Linked DNA regions of Oryzias latipes. The protein of the gene in region 3 purifies or fractionates together with the protein of the main gene of each other region. This does not show direct contact. Links are inferred from orthologs where the notes say so. Each region holds a gene or a part of one and is shown on either strand. Other genes may lie near its edges.

Region 1 (6,059 bases), on a different chromosome or scaffold from region 3:
ATAACAAGAAATTTACCTCGTGCTCTGTAATGTTTATTAGCAGTTCCTGCTGCAGAAACTGTTCCAGAATGTACTTTGGTGCCATGTCCACAAGAGACTGTAAAATAGGATTACATTTTCAAGTAAATGTTCAGCGTCTTTGCTTATTTTAGTAATATTTCAATTAGGGCCGTGCATCAAGTTAGAGTCATTGTAGACACTGACTTAAATATCTTAACAATATCAACAATTGAAGGAATAATTTGAGTCTTATACCAAATTTTGATACTTATATATAGTGAGCCTCAAATATATCAAGTTATTTAGCAGTCTGTGTGTACAGATATGTTGTGTTGATTTCACTTTGTGCCCATTGTGCTTTTTTTGTGTGTACACTGGTTAGAGATAAGTCATTACTTTCAAAATAAGATAAAACATTTCTGAAGAATGTGTTATAAAAATATTTTTTTGAATCAGTATCCAACAATGTAATGATCAGGAACCGTTCCAGTATGTAAACTTTAGCAACGATACCCAGCCTTAGTTTTAAATGATTACACATACCTGCTTAGCTGAGGGTGTCATGCCCATCTGAACCACGATGATGGCTCGAGTAATGTTCTCCTCCTGCATCCTTTGACAGTACATCTTGATTGTCTTGATCCCGACCTTGGGTTCCTCTAATCCAGAATAGAAAAAGAATCATTTTGAATAAAGCTTTATTAGGCTTGTTCAGAAATGTAAATACATTCGCTGCTCCCATGTTTGATGAGCCACCCCGGTGAAAACGGTGTTTTTTTAATATGGAGGACAAATATGACAGAATTGAAGACAGTTCCAGTGTGTCTTATATTAAAGTACAACTAATTACGGTTGCAATATTTTCTAACACTGAACCTCTTTGCTATTGCCAATAACTGTGTCTGATCTGCGAAAAAGAAAAATGATAAAAAGAATAGGAAACTGTAAAAAAATATAACCTGTTAGACTCAAATGAAAGGTTGATATTTTCAACTGAACCTTAAATATTGATGGATTACTTAAATTTGTATTTTGACTTGTGAAAGATTTAAAAGAGGAAATTGACTACAGTTGGATATGACATTTATAAAATAAATCATGTAAAAAGTGCCGTTGCGATTGGTAAGGTTAGTGTGTATTCTTCTCATAGAATGGTGTTAAACAGCGTTCAGTTGTCAGCTTTGCTCGTCTAAAACCAGAAGTACGGTGACACAATGGCGCCCATGTCTCTGTTTTGTCTGACGTCACCATGAAAAGGGTCTATTGGCTTCATTTCTCTGGAGCCGGAAGAAAGGCGACGTCACCATGGCTCAATTCTCTAATAAAGTCAATGTAATCTAATGGGAGAGTGTGTAAACAAAAAAGGGATGATGGGATATCAGCAGGGGCTTACGTCCGTGCCAACAGTGATGCCCACACAGGTTTTTATGAATTTGGCTAAAAACAGAGCATTCATAAATATAATACCACTGGGGACTCCTTTAAAAATAAATCGAAATATGATTGGAGTGTAACTTAAACTTTTGGTTATTTTATGGATAAAAGGATGAGTTCCCAAATTATTCTCAAGTATAAACCTACCAGGAAAGAAAACAAACATTTGATCAGTGGGATCATCGTTGTGTGCGACCAAGACTGTAAGGTCCGTCCGTCTGGGACGACCCTCGCTGGGTTTGTCTCCGAATTGACTCTTGAACTCCTCCAGGGTCTGGTCCAACTCATCTTGTGTTACCAGATAGCCTCGATCGTGGCAGAGCTGTGGTTAAAAAAAACAAACAACATTTTAATATGTATAGTGTTGGCCAAAGGTTTTGAGAATTACATAAATATTGGAAATTGCAAAAGTTGCTGCCTAGGATTTTATAATAGCAATTTGCATGTTCTCCAAAATGTTACAAAGAGTCATCAGATGAATTGCGTAGTCCTTCTTTGCCATGAAAATTAAATGAATCCCCCCCCCAAAAATCATTTCAGTCATCGTCTTTTTAACTCAGTTGAGAATGTTGACGAGCACAAGACTGGAGATCATGATGTCAGGCCGGTTGGGTTAGAATGGCAGACTTGACATGTTAAAAGGAGGGTGATGCTTGAAATCATTGTTCTGCCACTGTTAACCATGCTGACCGGCAAAGAAACGTGTGCAGCCATCATCGCGTTGCATAAGAATGGCTTCACAGGCGAGGATATTGTGGCAGCTAAGATTGCACCTAAATCAACAATTTATAGGATCATCAAAAACTTCAAGGAAAGAGGTTCAATTCTTGTTAACAAGGTTTCAGAGCGTCCAAGAAAGTCCAGCAAGTGCCAAGAATCGTCTCCTAATGGGTTTTAACTGTGGGATCGGAGCGCCACCAGTGCAGAGTTTGCTCAGGAATGGCAACAGGCTGGTGTGAGCGCATTTGCATGCACAGTGAGGCGGAGACTTTTAGAAGATGGCCACTTATCCACCCCAAAAACAAACATCAGGGACAGATTGATCTTCTGCAAAAAGTATGGCGAGTGGACTGCTGGGGACTGGGGCAAAGTCCTATTCTCCCATGAAGCCTCTATCCGATTGTTTGGGGCATCTGGACAAAGGCTTGTCCGGAGAAGAAAAGGTGAGAGCTACCACCTGTCCCGTGTCGTGCCAACAGTAAAGCATCCTGAGACCCTTGATGTGTGGGGTTGCTTCTCATCCAAGGAAGTGGGCTCATTCGCATTTTTCTCCAAAACCACAGCCATGAATAAAGAATGGTGCCAAAACTCCCTCCAACAGCAACTTCTTCCAGCAATCCAACAACAGTTTGGCGTCAAACAATGTATTTTCCAGCACGATGGCGCACCGTGCCATGAGGCAAAAGTGATAACTAAGTGGATCGGGGACCAAAATGTTGACATTTTGGGTCCACGGCCTGGAAACTCCCCAGATCTTAATCAATCTGGGTTGCTATCGGTCAGGATTTGGCCCTAAAGTTGATTGACAGCATGCCCAGTCGAATTGCAGGGGTGCTGACAAAGGAAGTCCAACACTGCAAAACCTGACTCTCTGCATAAATGTCATATAATTATTGTCGATTAAAAAAAGCCTAAACGTAATAAAGAGCTGATAACTATATTTCAGTACATCACAGAAACAAAAATCTAAAAGCAGTTTAGCAGCAAACTTTGTGAAAGTGTATTTAATGATTTGAAGCATTCATGTTGTCATACATGTAGTCTACATGTACGAAAACATGTTGGCTTTTTTTAATGGGTCATCATGGGTGTGCTAAAGTTAGCCTTCGTTCAAACGAGGCTAACGAATGCATCATTCCTACACATAATAATTAAAAAAAAAAGTCTGAGCGCGTAATTGGAACGACTTGCACTGAGAATAAGAGATTAACACACAAAACGTAAAAGATTTAGTTACAACTTTAACAATGGCAGTCAAAAGCGACTCTTTAACGCGAGCCACATGTGAAGCTAACAGCTAGTTCGCTGCTAAGCTAGTATATCCTTTTATTTAATCCACCTGCATTATTGTTTTACGGATCTTCCACAGCCGGTAAGTTTCCTCTTCATCGTCCATCCTTTCTCAATTTATTCTCCTTTTCGTATTTTTAAATCACTAATATTCTTCTAAAAATCCGATGGCATCGATGGTTCCTGGCTTGGCCAATATTATATACCACAATGCATTGCGTTTGATCGAGTTGACGTTTAAAAAAACTGTTCTTAAAGAAAAGTCCTCCAGGTTATTATCTTCAGAGCGAATTTATTAAGTCTTCATAAAATGTTCTTAATTATTCGGTATTTTTTTTTAACTTCGGCTAATTGGAAATGTAAATCTGAAGACAATTTACTTATGGTAAAAAAAATAAATTAAAATAAAAATTTGCTTCAGAATTAAAAATCTCTTTCTAAATTTATTTTTTACTGACTGAATTTAGGTTTTAAAAAAGCTTAGTATATTTTGCTAATAATAAATAAATATATCACCTTCTATGTTTTAATTATGACACATTTTATCTATAAAAATAGATAAAATCTTAGAATGTAGACGAGGGTCATTGAGTATAATTTAAGTACGTCATCTTGACTCTTCTTTAAATTAAACTGTTGCAGTGAAATAGAAACTGTCTTTTGGCTGTTTTGCTATTTGTTCATGTATCGCTAGTTATATCGTCATCGCAATATTGATCATTGATATCGCAGAACGCGAGTTTCCTCATATCGTGCACCTCTATCTCCTACCCCCCCCCCTTTTTTTGAACGTTTTGACCTATATTTTATTTTTATTTTTGTTTTGAAAAACCTCATACGTCATTTCCTCCTTGTCTTGTCAAGCATTTGACTCCACCCACTTGAGTTTCACAACACTGGGTGGAAATGAGTCACGTGCGCTTACAATGAACAAAATAGATTTTTTCCGATAACTGGGGCCTTTTTATTATTATTTTTATTTAAGTCGCTGTCAAAAATGAGGCCATTAATTGTTATGTTGACAGTTGGGGCTATAGCGAGCAGCGGAGCACTGCTGGCGATGGTACTGTACTTTGTTTTGTCCACCACGGTAAAGTATTTCTTCTCTATAACCTGATTGCATAGCCTAGCACAGTGCATGCGTTTCCATTGGAGTACATGTATTATTACATGTCTATGCATACGTAGGCATGTCTCCTGTTATTGTTGTGTTTTTGTCATCGTTCTGCTTAACACCTCGTAAGGAGATTTCTCCATAAGCTCATAAACCTCTTATATTTGTTAGCCAGCGAGTTCTGGATGGTTCCGAACAGTCCGGAACAGAACAGACTATAGTCACAAACGCTGGAGCAGCGCCAGCATCCTTCACTCCGTCTGTTCACTGGCACCAGCTGATAAACATATCACAGTGTCAACATTTTAGATGTTTTTTTTTGTATGACGTAAAAAACCTCTGCCTTACTTTTTTATTTTTTTTACATTTACCTTCACATTTTGTATGTTTTGCCATTTAAGAACACATTGCTAAATTCCATTTAGGTTTTTATATGAGTCTAAATACCAAGACAGCTCAGAAGAACAGTTCAAAACAAACACAATGACTGATAAATCGTGAAGTTTCTTATTTCCTGTCGTGGTTTGTTGATCAAATCAGTACATTTAAGATCTCTTTTTTTCTGGGATTAGATTCTTTTCCCTATTAGTTTTAATCATTTGACACAATGTGTTTTTGTTTCCTTTGCCTGGGCAAATGGCTCAGGTTGTCTTGAGATTATGTCAATGCTGTGAACTGTGGACCGCAGTACAAAGGTGTTTTTGATCTGCAGGCTTTAATTGCCAGCAGGAAAGTAGGAAGTGCTGGACAATCCCATCCTATCAGCTGCGTTACAGATCACATGTTTTCTCTGTGAGGACACTGCAACGTGTGCTTTTTGCGTATAAAGCCAGAGTCGCGGGGAGGGGGAATCAGAGATCGGATTGTTTTCTGCCTTTATAGAGGCGAACTGAAGGGCAGCCATGCTCCTGACAGGCTGTACAGTGCTTTTCTCTGTCCTGCTGCAGGTTATGGTAAGAAATGACAGGAGCTGCATTGGACTGGAACCTAACTTTGCCAGCTCTGCTTTTGTTTTGTGTTTTTATAGAATGGATTTGTTCATTTTTTCTTATGTTTTATGTCATGTCTGGTATATTTTTGTTTATTTTTGTGCTGATTTTCACCCAGATTGACATTTTTATGCCTTTAAAACAATGTTTACCTTTAACCAACAGTCCACTCCGACAGAGGACTGGCAGAGGGCCACATCTATTTACGATTTCAATGCAACAGACATCGATGGCAACTTGGTTTCCTTGGAAAAATACAGGTATTTGAGATCAATTCTTTCTCGTTTTGCTCTTCTGGTAAAACGACGATCATCCATTTTCCCGTTGTGTGTGTTTTTCAGGGGGAACGTTGTCATCATCACCAACGTCGCCTCCAAATGAGGCAAAACCGTAGTAAACTACTCTCAGTTTGCAAAGATGCACGCCGCGTATGCTGAGAGAGGTTTACGCATCCTCGCTTTCCCATCCAACCAGTTTGGGAATCAGGTATTTATGTTTTGTCGTCTAAAATT
Region 2 (5,898 bases), on a different chromosome or scaffold from region 3:
AGTTCAGTTGGGTCCAGTTCTTGTGGTTCTGTTCAGCGACTTCATGTCAAGTTCTGGTTGATTCGAACCTTTTCTATATTTCCGGTTTTGATCCGTTTTCTGTTTTTAGTCTAAAGGTTCTGATGGGGGGGGGGGGGGGTCATTAATGGGTCACATGACCTGCTGACGGTCAGCAGAGAGTCCATTAGGGGGGGGGGGGCAGACTAACCTGATGGTCAGCGATGTTCCTCATCGATCTGTGAGGCGGGTCGGGCCGCTCCAGGAAACCGGATCCATCTCAGAACCGCAGTCCCTATACGCAGAATCCAAATGCTAAATTCCTCCTGGGAGGCGGCATGGTGGAGCAGTGGTCAGCGCTCTGGTTCAAATCCTGCATTCTTTCCCTTATTGTCATTTTCTGTTCCAAGTTTTATTGATTCTGTTTTCTACGCTTCAATAATAATAAACTGGTTCTCTCTGGTATCGTTCAGGGGGCCGGGTCTAATGGGGGGGCGGGCCATCGTTTGGGGACCCTTGGTTTTAAGGATCTTTTCCATTTCCTGTTTATAACGAGCATGGATGACGTTACACAGCTTGTGGGCGGGGCCTTTGGCCGCTCTTGATGGGAAATCTGAAAAAAGATCTTTCTTCAAAATCACTTCAGTCAGAATTCATGAGTCGCTTTTCACACAACAGTAAAACTTTATTAACTTAAATCAGACGTAACCAAAGGAAAGGGGCGGGGTTCCATGGAGGAAAGGGGCGTGGCTCCATGGAGGAAAGGGGCGGGGTTCCATGGGCGGAGTCAGAACTCCAGCCACTCTGTCATGTAGATGCAGGTGGATGGCGAGATCTCCCCCCCTTCGTGACAGTCGTCAAACACCTGCAGAGAGATTGGGGGGGGGGGGGGGGTGAGTGCCGCAGCCGGAGCGGCAGCAGGGGGCGTCGGAGCGCGGCTTACCGGGCACAGGCCGCAGGGCGTCTTCACCAGGCCCGCCGGCGGCAGCACGGCGTTCACGCCGCGGTACAGCTTCATCTGTCCGTCCACGCTGCCCACCGTCCCCTCCTTGGCGGCGATCACGGTCATCTCCACCTTCCCGTCGTAGATCAGCGTGTTCAGGATGGTCTCGATGTCGTCCATGGACAGGTCCACCTGCACACGGGACACCTGTGAGAACAGCTGCAGCTGTTGGGAGGGGCTGTGAGGTCACGGCGGGGCCACCTTGCTGATGCCCAACTCGCTGATGTACTTCCAGACTTCGTGAGACGTGGCGAAGGAGCTGTTCCTCTGAACCATGGGGCTCTGCTGGCCGCCCCGCGCCGCCTCCGCCTGCACACAGGGGTGAGTGGGGGTGAGGGGTGGGCCCCTCAGCCTGGTGCTACGTTCACACACGTGATGCGCGTTGAAGACCACAGAACCTTTGCTCGCCTACGGCGTTCATTCTGGACTGTGGCTACCCGGCGCCGTCTCCTGCGGTTGGACGACTCGGTGGGAAACGTCCAAATCTGGTGAGTCTTTTGTTCACAGCTCGATTCTGATCCATCATAGACTTGGCGTCGACACAAACCGCAGTTATTACTTTGTCCTTTCTGATCAAGTTTCAGTCGTTGGTACTTCTGCTTTGACGCCATCATACGTCGCAACCAACTCAGAGTCCCTGATTGGTCAAAGTTCAACTGGTTTCACGTTCAATGGCGGCGCTTTTTGTAGAGTTTGGAGGCGGAAGCGTAGACGCGTTCCCGTAGACTTTGGACTCAAAGCGGTCCCTTGAACGCGTTTCCCGGTGTAAACGTAGCTCTACAGCTGACCTCTGACCTTTGTGACCCATTGGTTTGGTGTTCCGTACATTTGGGTTCTCCATACCTTGCTCTGCAGGAACTTGAAGCACTGCTGGTTCAGAACCTCCACGAACTCGGACTCAAAGTCCTGGTCGCTGTACCAGGCCCCTCCGGTGACGGAGCGGTCCGGCTGCACGTTGTACAGCATGTAGACCTTCTTCTTGGACGCCTGCGTGGCAGACGAGCAGAGTTCAGGACTGCCGGCGGCCACAAGCACGTCTGGACCGGCTCGGTTCTGAACTCACGGCCACAGATTTGACGGCTTTGATGAGCTTCTTGCTCTCCAGGTTCTTCAGGATCTTGTTGATCTCGGTCAGAGGGAGGTTGCTCTTGAAGCGGATGTCTCTGCTCCAGATTCCTGCGAACAGAACATCTGGGAGGTTCTGACCCGCGGTACCTTCTGGAAGGAGGCAGACAGAGCTCACCTTTGTTTCCGGCATCCTCGATGATCTGGTAAACCAGCTTCTCCTGGTTGTCCGAGCCCTTCATCTTACTGAAACAGAGGATTGGGGTTCACGGTGGACAGAACCAGAACCTGCAGATGGAACGCTGCTCACCTGGCTGTCTGAGAATCTTTTAATCTGTACAGAAGACCAGAACTGTTCCTGAGCAAGTCCAGCTGGCCCTGGAACAAACACCAGGTTACGTTAGAACCCCTCTGCGCTGAAGAATGGATTGGGTTGTTCAGAACCGGACTAACCAGGGACAGCAGCTTGTTGATGGCCAGGGCCCTCTGCTGCGGCTCCAGGTGAGGCATGTCGTTCTGGATCACCTGGTCTGTGATTCCCTGAGGGAACTGCTGACACAGCTCTCTGATCCTGGAGACACACAGGCGTTCAGAGCTGAAGTTCCTGGATCAGAACCACAAGGTCCAGTCGCTCCAAAGATCAGACATCCCATAATAAACCCTGTGTCAGCTTGGGTCTCATCTCCAGTTGGAACAAAAAGGAACATCTTCAGATGGACCTCTCCAAGACGGAGGTTCTAGTGTTTCTGGTCCGTTCAGAACGTCACGTTGGATCTTCAGAAATGGTCCAAAGACCGCCTGAACTCTAGAATCCGTCTGACCCATCCGCGTGTTCTCTGAACAACATCCAGAACATCCAACAGCTGCAGCGATAGTCCTCGGACCTGGACCTTCAAACCAGGACTCGGATCTAAAACCTTCATACCGGGACTCGGTTCTAAAGTCTGCAGAACTGAACTCGGTTCTAAAGTCTTCAGACCTGGACTCGGATCTAAAACCTTCATACCGGGACTCAGTTCTGAAGTCTTCAGACCTGGATGGACTCGGTTCCTTTAGTCTTTAGACCTGAACTCACGGGACTCGAGTCCGAGTCCAGTTATGAAGACATTAGACCCGAGTGACTCGAGTCTAATGTCTTCAGACCTGCACTCGGTTCTGAAGTCTTCGGAGGTTTACTCAGATCTAAAACCTTCAGAACTGGACTCGGTTCTAAAACCACCTGAGCGTGAGCTGAGTCGGTCTCCCGATTCGAACCTCTGGAACCAGACAAAGTGGTTTCGGTCTTAGAAGCCTGCTGAGGTTCGGTTTAGAGTAGCCTCCGGAACCAGAACCGTTTCTGAACTTAAGACACGCGCGCATGAAACAAGCCAAGGAGCTGCTCGTAGATGAAATGCACGCGCTTCGGTCATGGACCGGCACGCGGCAGAATCGTGAGGTCCGAACCTGGTCTCCACCTCTGCAGGTTCCGCCAGGTTCGTCTCTTTCTTTACCCGAACCTCCGCCATCTCCCCGGTCCGCTGCTGCCGGTGACGCCGCTTCTTCTTCTGGGGGAACCACGGAGACCGGAGCGTTACCGCCCCCCAGCGGCGGGAGAGGCTCGGTCCTGTGTGACGTCATCAGAGCACGTGATGTCCGTTCACGTTTTTTTTTGTTTTTTTTTAATTTTGTTTATTTGAACTTTAAACATACACATAATAACAACATACAAAAAAGAGAGAAAAAGAAAATAAGTAAATAAATAAAACAAAATATATAGAATTATAGTTTACAACACTAGGGATTGTCATACAGCATGTGATCTTCAATGAAAACACACAGTTTTATTGCATTTTTGTTTTTCATCAATGTCAGAGATTTAAAATATAAACTGATTTCTTTAAGAAATGTATTAAATAATGGTTTCGTTTTTACAAATCTGCACTTGTGAATGAAAAATTTCCCAGATATTAATAAGGTATTGAATGTCAAATCAAATAGATTATCACCAGAAACTACTCCAAATAATATAATGTGCTTTTGTAAGTGAATAGAAATAGGAAAGGGAAACTTTGAAGAGCACCAAAAAAAGAAATCCTCCCAAAAACTGTAAACATACATACATTCAAAAAACAAATGATCAAGTGTTTCAATATTTATATCACAAAAAGAACAGTTATTCTCTGGAAAACCTAAACGTATGTGTAACAGTTCTTTGCATGGATAGACTGCATTCATTATTTTAAAATGGATTTCTTTGTATTTTGGGAAAATTGGATATTTAATGAACTGAGACCTCAACTTGCTTATTTCCTCTCTTGTGTAAAGCTGTGACATAGAATGATTTATGTCTAATGTTGGAAACAGGACGGCTCTAACAAATAAAGATCGTATAAATGAGTTTGGAAGTTTTGAATTAACCGGTCGACCATCAAACAACAGAGAGGGAAGCTGAACTTGATCATCATGAACCAGACTGGAGGACATTTGGACCAAAGTCTGAGGCTTTGATCACATTATTATATTATTTTCTATCATTTAATTTAAATTTACTGGAAAAAGTTTCAAATGAGATAATGTTTCCATTGTCATTCATAATATGTATTAATGACCAAATACTGTCATCAATCCAATGTTTGTAAAATATTGATTTGTTCCTACATAAAATATCCCAACAGTTCCATATGGAGTATTGTGTGAACTACAGTTATGTTTGTAGAGGAGTTTCCATACAGTAACAGCTGCTGATGATGAGTAGAAAGTTTAATAGGAAGTTTTCTGTAATCAAAATCACATTTTAGAAGCAACTCAATACCCCCTAGATGAGAAAAGATGTTTGAGGGAATATGAAACCAAATATTTCTCCCATTTTGCAGAAAAGACTTAAGCCAATTTATTTGAATCATACCATCCAAACTTTCAAAGTCTGAGGCTTTAAGTCCACCTTCACTGTAATCCTGAATTATTGTTCTTTTTTTATGGAATTAATTTTGTTTTTCCAGATGAAGTTGAAATTGTTCGGGTTTATTGCTTTCCTATGCTGGATAAATGAATCTGGATCAACATTCTAATTTAGTGAGAAACACTCTGAATAGAAATGTCTCGCTGTGACCAGATGTTTACATTAACTTACATTTTTCTAAAGTTTTCCATAAGTTCATTTCCTCCATAGTTTTACTGTCTTTGGTGATCTGAACTAAATATATTTCACAGCAGTCCTAACAGGAATGTTATGAAGGACTGACTGATCAGAATGGAGAACTGGCAACAATTCACATTTGCTGAGATTCAGTTTGAAACCAGATTCTTTAGAGAAGAAATCCAGGTTCTGAATGATGTCAGGTGTTTGATGACTGTCCTTCATGAATGTGGGCGTGTCGTCTGCCAGCTGAGTGATGGCTAGCTGTTCTCCCAGAACATTGAGTTTACAGAAACCAGAGTTATTTAGAAGTATTGATAACATTTCTGTTGCTGTTATAAAAAGTAATGGTGAGATTCTATCTATTCTAACAAATTCCTTTGTTAATTAAAAACCTGGGAAAAATGCCGTTTGGTAAAATAACGACACTGTTTGTATCATTATAGATTGTTTGAACAAAACTTATAAAATTAGGTCCAAATCCAAATAATTCTAAAGTCTGAAACATAAATTTGTGTTCAAGACGTCTAAAAATAAAATGAAGCCATCATCTTCAATGAACTGATTATAGTCAATCAGATCCAGAACTAACCGGATATTATTGTGAATTGATCGTCTTTAAAAACCCTGATTGTGTGTCTGAGATGATCTGATTCAGTCCTGTTTTTAATCCAGATGCAGAAATGTTGGTTATGATTTTCTAATCACTGTAGAGGAG
Region 3 (5,717 bases):
GAGGATACAGATGAGAGAAAGTGGGATAGGAGAAGCCACAGACAGGAAAGAAGAGGGAGAAGAAAAAAGTAGAATAAGATGCAAGGGAGAAAGATTTGGACCTGATGCAGAAAAAAAACACAAAGTAGAGCAGGAATAAAGAAAGAGAAGATACATTTGAAAAAAAATGAGAGAGATAAAATCTGGGACAGGAATGTAATTTAAATAGTCCAAAAAATACTGTGAAACCTTTAAACCCTTGATATTTTTGGCCACGTGTGGAGGATGCTGCCCTCCTCTGCAACAGAAACGGAACATGCCTAAAGCAAAATTGTGAAAAATAGCACTCCAGCAAGCAGAGCGTGTCTTCAGAGTTAATGTGGTGTAATGTGTTTGCTTATTGTTTCCACAGAGTTTCACATCCAACGCCTTTCAGATCTTCATCAGCATCATTCGCCCCTCTGGAACTGATGCTGTTAGCGGACAGCAGAGGGCGTGCCTCTCCCCACAGCGGGCCAGCCAAGCCACAGTGACTACCTGCCTCTGTTCCAGCAAGGGTCTGCTCCTGTCTCCATGACGACCTGGATCCTGTTCTGTTCAGTGTGGTTTGACATTCACAGTGTAGCCAGAAAAGGATGCAGAGGAGGTGCACAACAGATGCACTTCTCCCAGCAGGACTCTGTGCTCCTCCACAGCAGAAGCTGAAAGCTTGTCAGACAATGATATATGAGTCCAATTTGTTGATTTTTTCCCCCCTTTTTTGTGTTTTTCTTTTTTTCAATCTCATCTGTGTAGTTATCCAGTTCTGATGCAACCTGTCTCCTCTGTCTCCTTAGCTACCAGGCCGGTAGTCACAGATTTCTGCCTCCTTCAAGTGCGTGCTCCTGTCTGTGTCTGACTGGCTGCTTCTGTCCCTATCCTGCAGCTGGACATGAATTTAACATGAGGACACAAGGCTTCTCTGTCTCTGTAACAAAGCTGTGACATCACCACATCACACACAGACTTGTAGACATGCACAAGCAAGAGCAAACAGAAACACACAAGGGCTTTTTTTAGGCAGAAGCCCCTGAAATCTCCTCATCAATAAATAACGCCTTCCGGTTTTAACAGTAAATGCATTTTTGAGTCAGGAAGCAGTTGAAAAACAATCTATTTTAGACAAAAGCCACGCTGGGCTGATTTTTTTTAATAAGTGAAGGCTTGCAGATGCGTGTGACACGTTCTTAATCCTTCTTGTCTGAGTTCAAAGCTGTACTTGCTCATCTTTTTATATTAGGATACCGGTCCTGCACTTGCTCTCATTTTCCCACAGATTACTATCTAATCTTGGGAGAACTAGGCAGCGGCATGCAGGAGTTTCCTTTTTAGAAGATCAAAAGACTCTATGGCACTCATTTAAAAACTCAGGTGTATCAGGCACCCAGGTATCAGATATTTTACAAAAACCTCATTTGGATGTCTTTCATCCTACAAATACTAAACACACAAAGACAGCACGAGAACTGATGTGAACATTATTATATATTTATTTTTTGCATGCATTAGTAATAATACAAAAACTGAGCCTGCTGTAAATTACATTTTCAATTATTATTGTCAATTTTCTGCATTTACCTTAATAACGCCCCATCTGCAAAGCAATTACTAAAATATATATATATATATATTTTTGATACCATCAATGTTTAGATAAGCCCTCCCCCCATCTCTCAAACCCCCCGTTCACTGTCTGAGTCCAACCCCCCCTAGGAGCGAAAAGGGAGGACAGAAGAGGCGACAATGGTAATAACAGAAAAAGCCAGCATCACACACACTGACGCCGCTTACAGTGAAAGGATGCAGATGTGATGTTACCTCTTCAGGCTGCTCCTCTGCGCCGCGCCCGGGCCTCGAAGAGGGGCGGGGGTGGCGGGACAATTAGCAGCTGCGGGACCTCAGTCACGCAGTCGCCGCAACGGACGGCCCGTTCCGCAAACCTGCACGAAAACGCCCCCGTCACTTTGGTGCCTGGTCCCGCCCACTGCTGTCCGTCAAAGAGACTGGGCGGAGTTTGCCGCTGTCAATCCACAAAAAAAAGAAAAAAAAAGTAGAGGTGGCTTCAATGTCGCCTGCCCAAAAACGTCCATTCAGCGGGAATTAAAATCTTTTAATATGTTTATGATTCCGATATGTTAGAGGTAATAACATAAACGGATAAAGCTTCGGGATCATACAGGGCATGGAATATTTTTTGTTTTTCAATGTGACAATTACAACTATTATTTTAGTAACTAAATTACTTTAGAATAAATGTTTGGGTTCTAAAAACGGCGTGAATTTTACAAAAATGCATTATTTATTTAAAAAAAAATGTTATGGTTTAACAATATAAAACAATGAAATGATCAGGCATCTTTTGGTCATAAAATCAGGTCCTCGAAAGAAGGACCTCGCAGAGGTAAATAAATCCCCTAACATGAGCCTGTAGAAATTTCCTGAAATAATTCTGCGTTTTAAAGTCTTTAGGTGGTCAGGCATAATGGCTGAAGATAATGAATTGGAAAAGTAAGTATTTTTTATTTTTAGATTATCATCGATTAACTTGTTTACGTTTGCTCGGTTAAACTAATACATCGGGGGAATGGTGTCTGGTACCACCAGATTAGGCTAGCATGTTTGCATAATGCATTTCTGTAGCTATGGGGTTATTTTGGTTAGGGGACGGAGTGTATCTTGTGTAGCAGTCAACACACTCTGCCTTTTGGCAATCAACAGCTGTTCTCACTACGTGCTATAAGATCGGCTGAATCAGAGAGAGCCCCCTGCGAGACTAATGCCTCAGCTGGTCGGGTTAAACGGGGACACCGCTGATGTCCCAATTACTTATGATTCACTTCCTCCGCGTCTCCTATTTTCTTCCTCGCTCGCACATAATTATATTAGTCTCCCCTTGAGCTTTTATGTCATCTTGGTCTTCTGTTGTTATCCGCATTTTTCTACGTCTTTTCCTCCAGACGGGCTATAGAGGAACTCCTCAAGGAGACAGACAGAGCCAGGGTGAGAGCTGAGACCATGGGCCCTGCAGGATGGTGAGTTATGGTTCTGAAATGTCATCCCTGACAGCCTCCACATAAAACGCCATGTAAAATCTTACTTCATAGGTTTAGCTGTTTTTTTTGGAGGCTTCTATTATTGTTGTATTTGTGTTTAACTAGTTTTCTATTATAGATAATTCGTCAGGTTCCCAAAGACACTTGTCTCTCTTGGCATCTAAAAGCACACACATATAGACTAAATTTATTATTAATATTTATTTATTGATTGTGTGTCTGTAGTGATTCTATGTCTAAAAAAAACGGTATAACCCTGTGAACTTTCCTGGAATTGAAAATATGCTTTCAGACATTTTTATTTTCTGGGCTGACGCTGATTTATCAAAACTATTTTTTTCTTCTTGATTTATTTCAGATGTGAGAGGTCAAAGCTAATGTTCTGAAGCTGTCATTCACTCGTCATTTAATGCAGTTACAAAAGTCACTTGAAAGGAGGGGACAAAAGGCAAATAAAATTTTTTTTTAAAAGACTGTCCATAATTATAATGTTACCTAACTTAAACTTTTCACATTTTTTTGTCTATCCCAAACATTTACATGACAACGTTCTCTGAAGTCTGCAAGGCTTGTCTTTTGTGTAACAATTACAGTTTGAGTTTTTTCACACTGTGTCGCATTTACAATCATAGATTTATCTTGGTAACCAATATTTGTTGACTGATCTGTATTAATTAGATCGACAAATGTTTGCAAGTATATTGTTGCACAATGATTTCTTTTGCATGAAATTATTTATTGACCTATTCACTTTTTGTGTATTTGATCTGTTTGATGGTTAATGGGTTTCTCTTTGGATCTCCCTTCATTGAGTCTCTTGAAATGATAAGATTTATTTGTGTATGTTTAACAGATCTTAAACAAATTTAGAAGGACTTTATTCTTTTTTGTGGGTTTCTAATGAAGAGGTTTATGTTATTTTGTTTTTTAGGTCTGGTCCAAAAAAACTACAGAATATTAAAAAAAAGTTGGTTTATGTAATTTCCAGAAAACTTGCACCTCTTATCACACTATTTAGTAGTAAATTAAAGAATGACCCAGTATTTTTAAGTGTTAGAAAACATGGAAAAACAGCACAATACCATAATGTTTTATTTTCATGTGGGAACCTAACAAAAAGTGAAATTATACAAAAAGCAGTAAGGTGAGCATCTAACTCCCAACTTAAAGCAAAGTCATGCCCTTAATAGTTGTCCTATAATTTAAATTGTACTCTGGAGACAATTTGTCCTTTAATGGAAACGACTATACATCTGTCAGATATACTGATCAGATAACTGTCGCTTTTCACATTAGACTTTAGATTAAAAAAAAAACCTTAATTCTGAATTTTTAAGTGGTTGTGTTGTCTTCTTCTCTGTCAGGTTGAAATGTCCCCTGCAGAGCACCAACAAACGCTTTCTCCTCAACACTCTGCGCTCTACCGGCCTGCAGCGGCGAAACGATGAGCAGAGAACCGCAGACTCCAAAACAAGAGACCGCCTGACCCACAAGTCCCGTGACAGACGGTGTGACCGCAGCAGAACACCTCCGACAGACCACAGGAGTAATGGACGCCACAAAGACCATAAACATCACACCCGTTCAAACCGAGATAAGGAACTGGACAAAGATAAGAACAAATCTGACAGACACGGGGACAACAGCAGAGACAGGAAGCATGCCGATGGACCAAACGGAGACAGAAAAAGAAGTTCTTCATGAATGAACTTGCTGTGTTTTAAAGGTAGCCTTGATGCTCTACTGAAAAATTAATTGGCTGGAGGAGTATGGCTGACTTGAAATAGTTCTGTAGAGCCCTCTCACCCTCACAGAGACCCAGACAGACTAGAAGGACCTCTGCTGATCACAACGAATTGTACAGTGACAGAATATACAATTTGTATTACAGCTTTTGAATGAATGAATGAAGAGAGTAAAAGGAAATAAATATTTTGTGTTTTCAGGCATGAATAATTGATCCTCTTACAGTTCTAACATGAATCTTTATGCACCAGAACGAAACATCAAATATACTTTTTAGGATATAATCTAAAAATCATATCAAAGCTAATATTTGTTTTATCATGTTCCACTTTGTAAAGGTGGCTGTAGCTCCATTATAATGTCATTAACCATTCTTTTGTGGTTATCCACCACTGGTGTTTATATAAGCCATGCTGCTGTCGCCAAAGAGTAAACAAATTTTATATCCTGTCTAATGTTTTGAAATGTGCACAGCAGCTATCAGAACCGCTCTTGTTTTTCAAAGGAGAAAAGTGGTTTCCTTACACTCCCAGTCCCCGTGAAGACACAGTACGACTGTTATAGCTATGAATAAAAAGAAAAGATGAGAATTCCATCTTCCTGGACATCTACTTTAGCCGAAGGTGATGTTGTAACTTCACTATAGCTCTTGTTTTTGAGTCATTTTCAGGTTTTATTGTTCTCAAAGCTTTTTTTTTTTAACGCCTCGATTACAACCAGTTAGACCATTTCTCCCTCTGCTCACAAAAAGGTCTATAAGTTCTCTAAAAACATTTCATAGTCATGCTTCATAAATCACGCAGTCCATCTCCACTGTAGTAGAGTCTAGTCCTGGTTAACTGTTTCCTTCCTCTTTGCAACAATGATCAAATACCATTAAGCCATATCAGGCGACTCTTT

Evidence for each region. Proteins that work in one complex are often made in the same cells at the same time.
Region 1: the proteins of protein POLR1D (region 3) and polr2e purify together in Homo sapiens (affinity purification with mass spectrometry; 4 studies listed by BioGRID and IntAct, with this or other methods). This does not show direct contact. The link is inferred for Oryzias latipes from reciprocal best matches to the Homo sapiens genes POLR1D and POLR2E.
Region 2: the proteins of protein POLR1D (region 3) and polr3f purify together in Homo sapiens (affinity purification with mass spectrometry; 3 studies listed by BioGRID and IntAct, with this or other methods). This does not show direct contact. The link is inferred for Oryzias latipes from reciprocal best matches to the Homo sapiens genes POLR1D and POLR3F.

The regions. Positions count from the first base shown.
Region 1 is NC_019862.2:26,973,599-26,979,657, reverse strand, and holds the start of polr2e (DNA-directed RNA polymerases I, II, and III subunit RPABC1), read right to left. Parts: upstream 3,668-6,059; 5' UTR 3,551-3,667; coding exon 3,494-3,550; intron 1,757-3,493; coding exon 1,582-1,756; intron 660-1,581; coding exon 544-659; intron 98-543; coding exon 17-97; intron 1-16. UniProt on the Homo sapiens protein: DNA-dependent RNA polymerase catalyzes the transcription of DNA into RNA using the four ribonucleoside triphosphates as substrates.
Region 2 is NC_019859.2:413,771-419,668, forward strand, and holds polr3f (DNA-directed RNA polymerase III subunit RPC6), read right to left. Parts: upstream 3,668-5,898; 5' UTR 3,571-3,667; coding exon 3,509-3,570; intron 2,637-3,508; coding exon 2,519-2,636; intron 2,444-2,518; coding exon 2,376-2,443; intron 2,312-2,375; coding exon 2,244-2,311; intron 2,177-2,243; coding exon 2,064-2,176; intron 1,988-2,063; coding exon 1,844-1,987; intron 1,310-1,843; coding exon 1,202-1,309; intron 1,133-1,201; coding exon 941-1,132; intron 863-940; coding exon 785-862; 3' UTR 658-784; downstream 1-657. UniProt on the Homo sapiens protein: DNA-dependent RNA polymerase catalyzes the transcription of DNA into RNA using the four ribonucleoside triphosphates as substrates.
Region 3 is NC_019878.2:17,474,899-17,480,615, reverse strand, and holds protein POLR1D, read left to right. Parts: upstream 1-2,361; 5' UTR 2,362-2,419; exon of another isoform or gene 2,420-2,480; 5' UTR 2,481-2,500; coding exon 2,501-2,526; intron 2,527-2,975; coding exon 2,976-3,050; intron 3,051-4,435; coding exon 4,436-4,775; 3' UTR 4,776-5,265; downstream 5,266-5,717.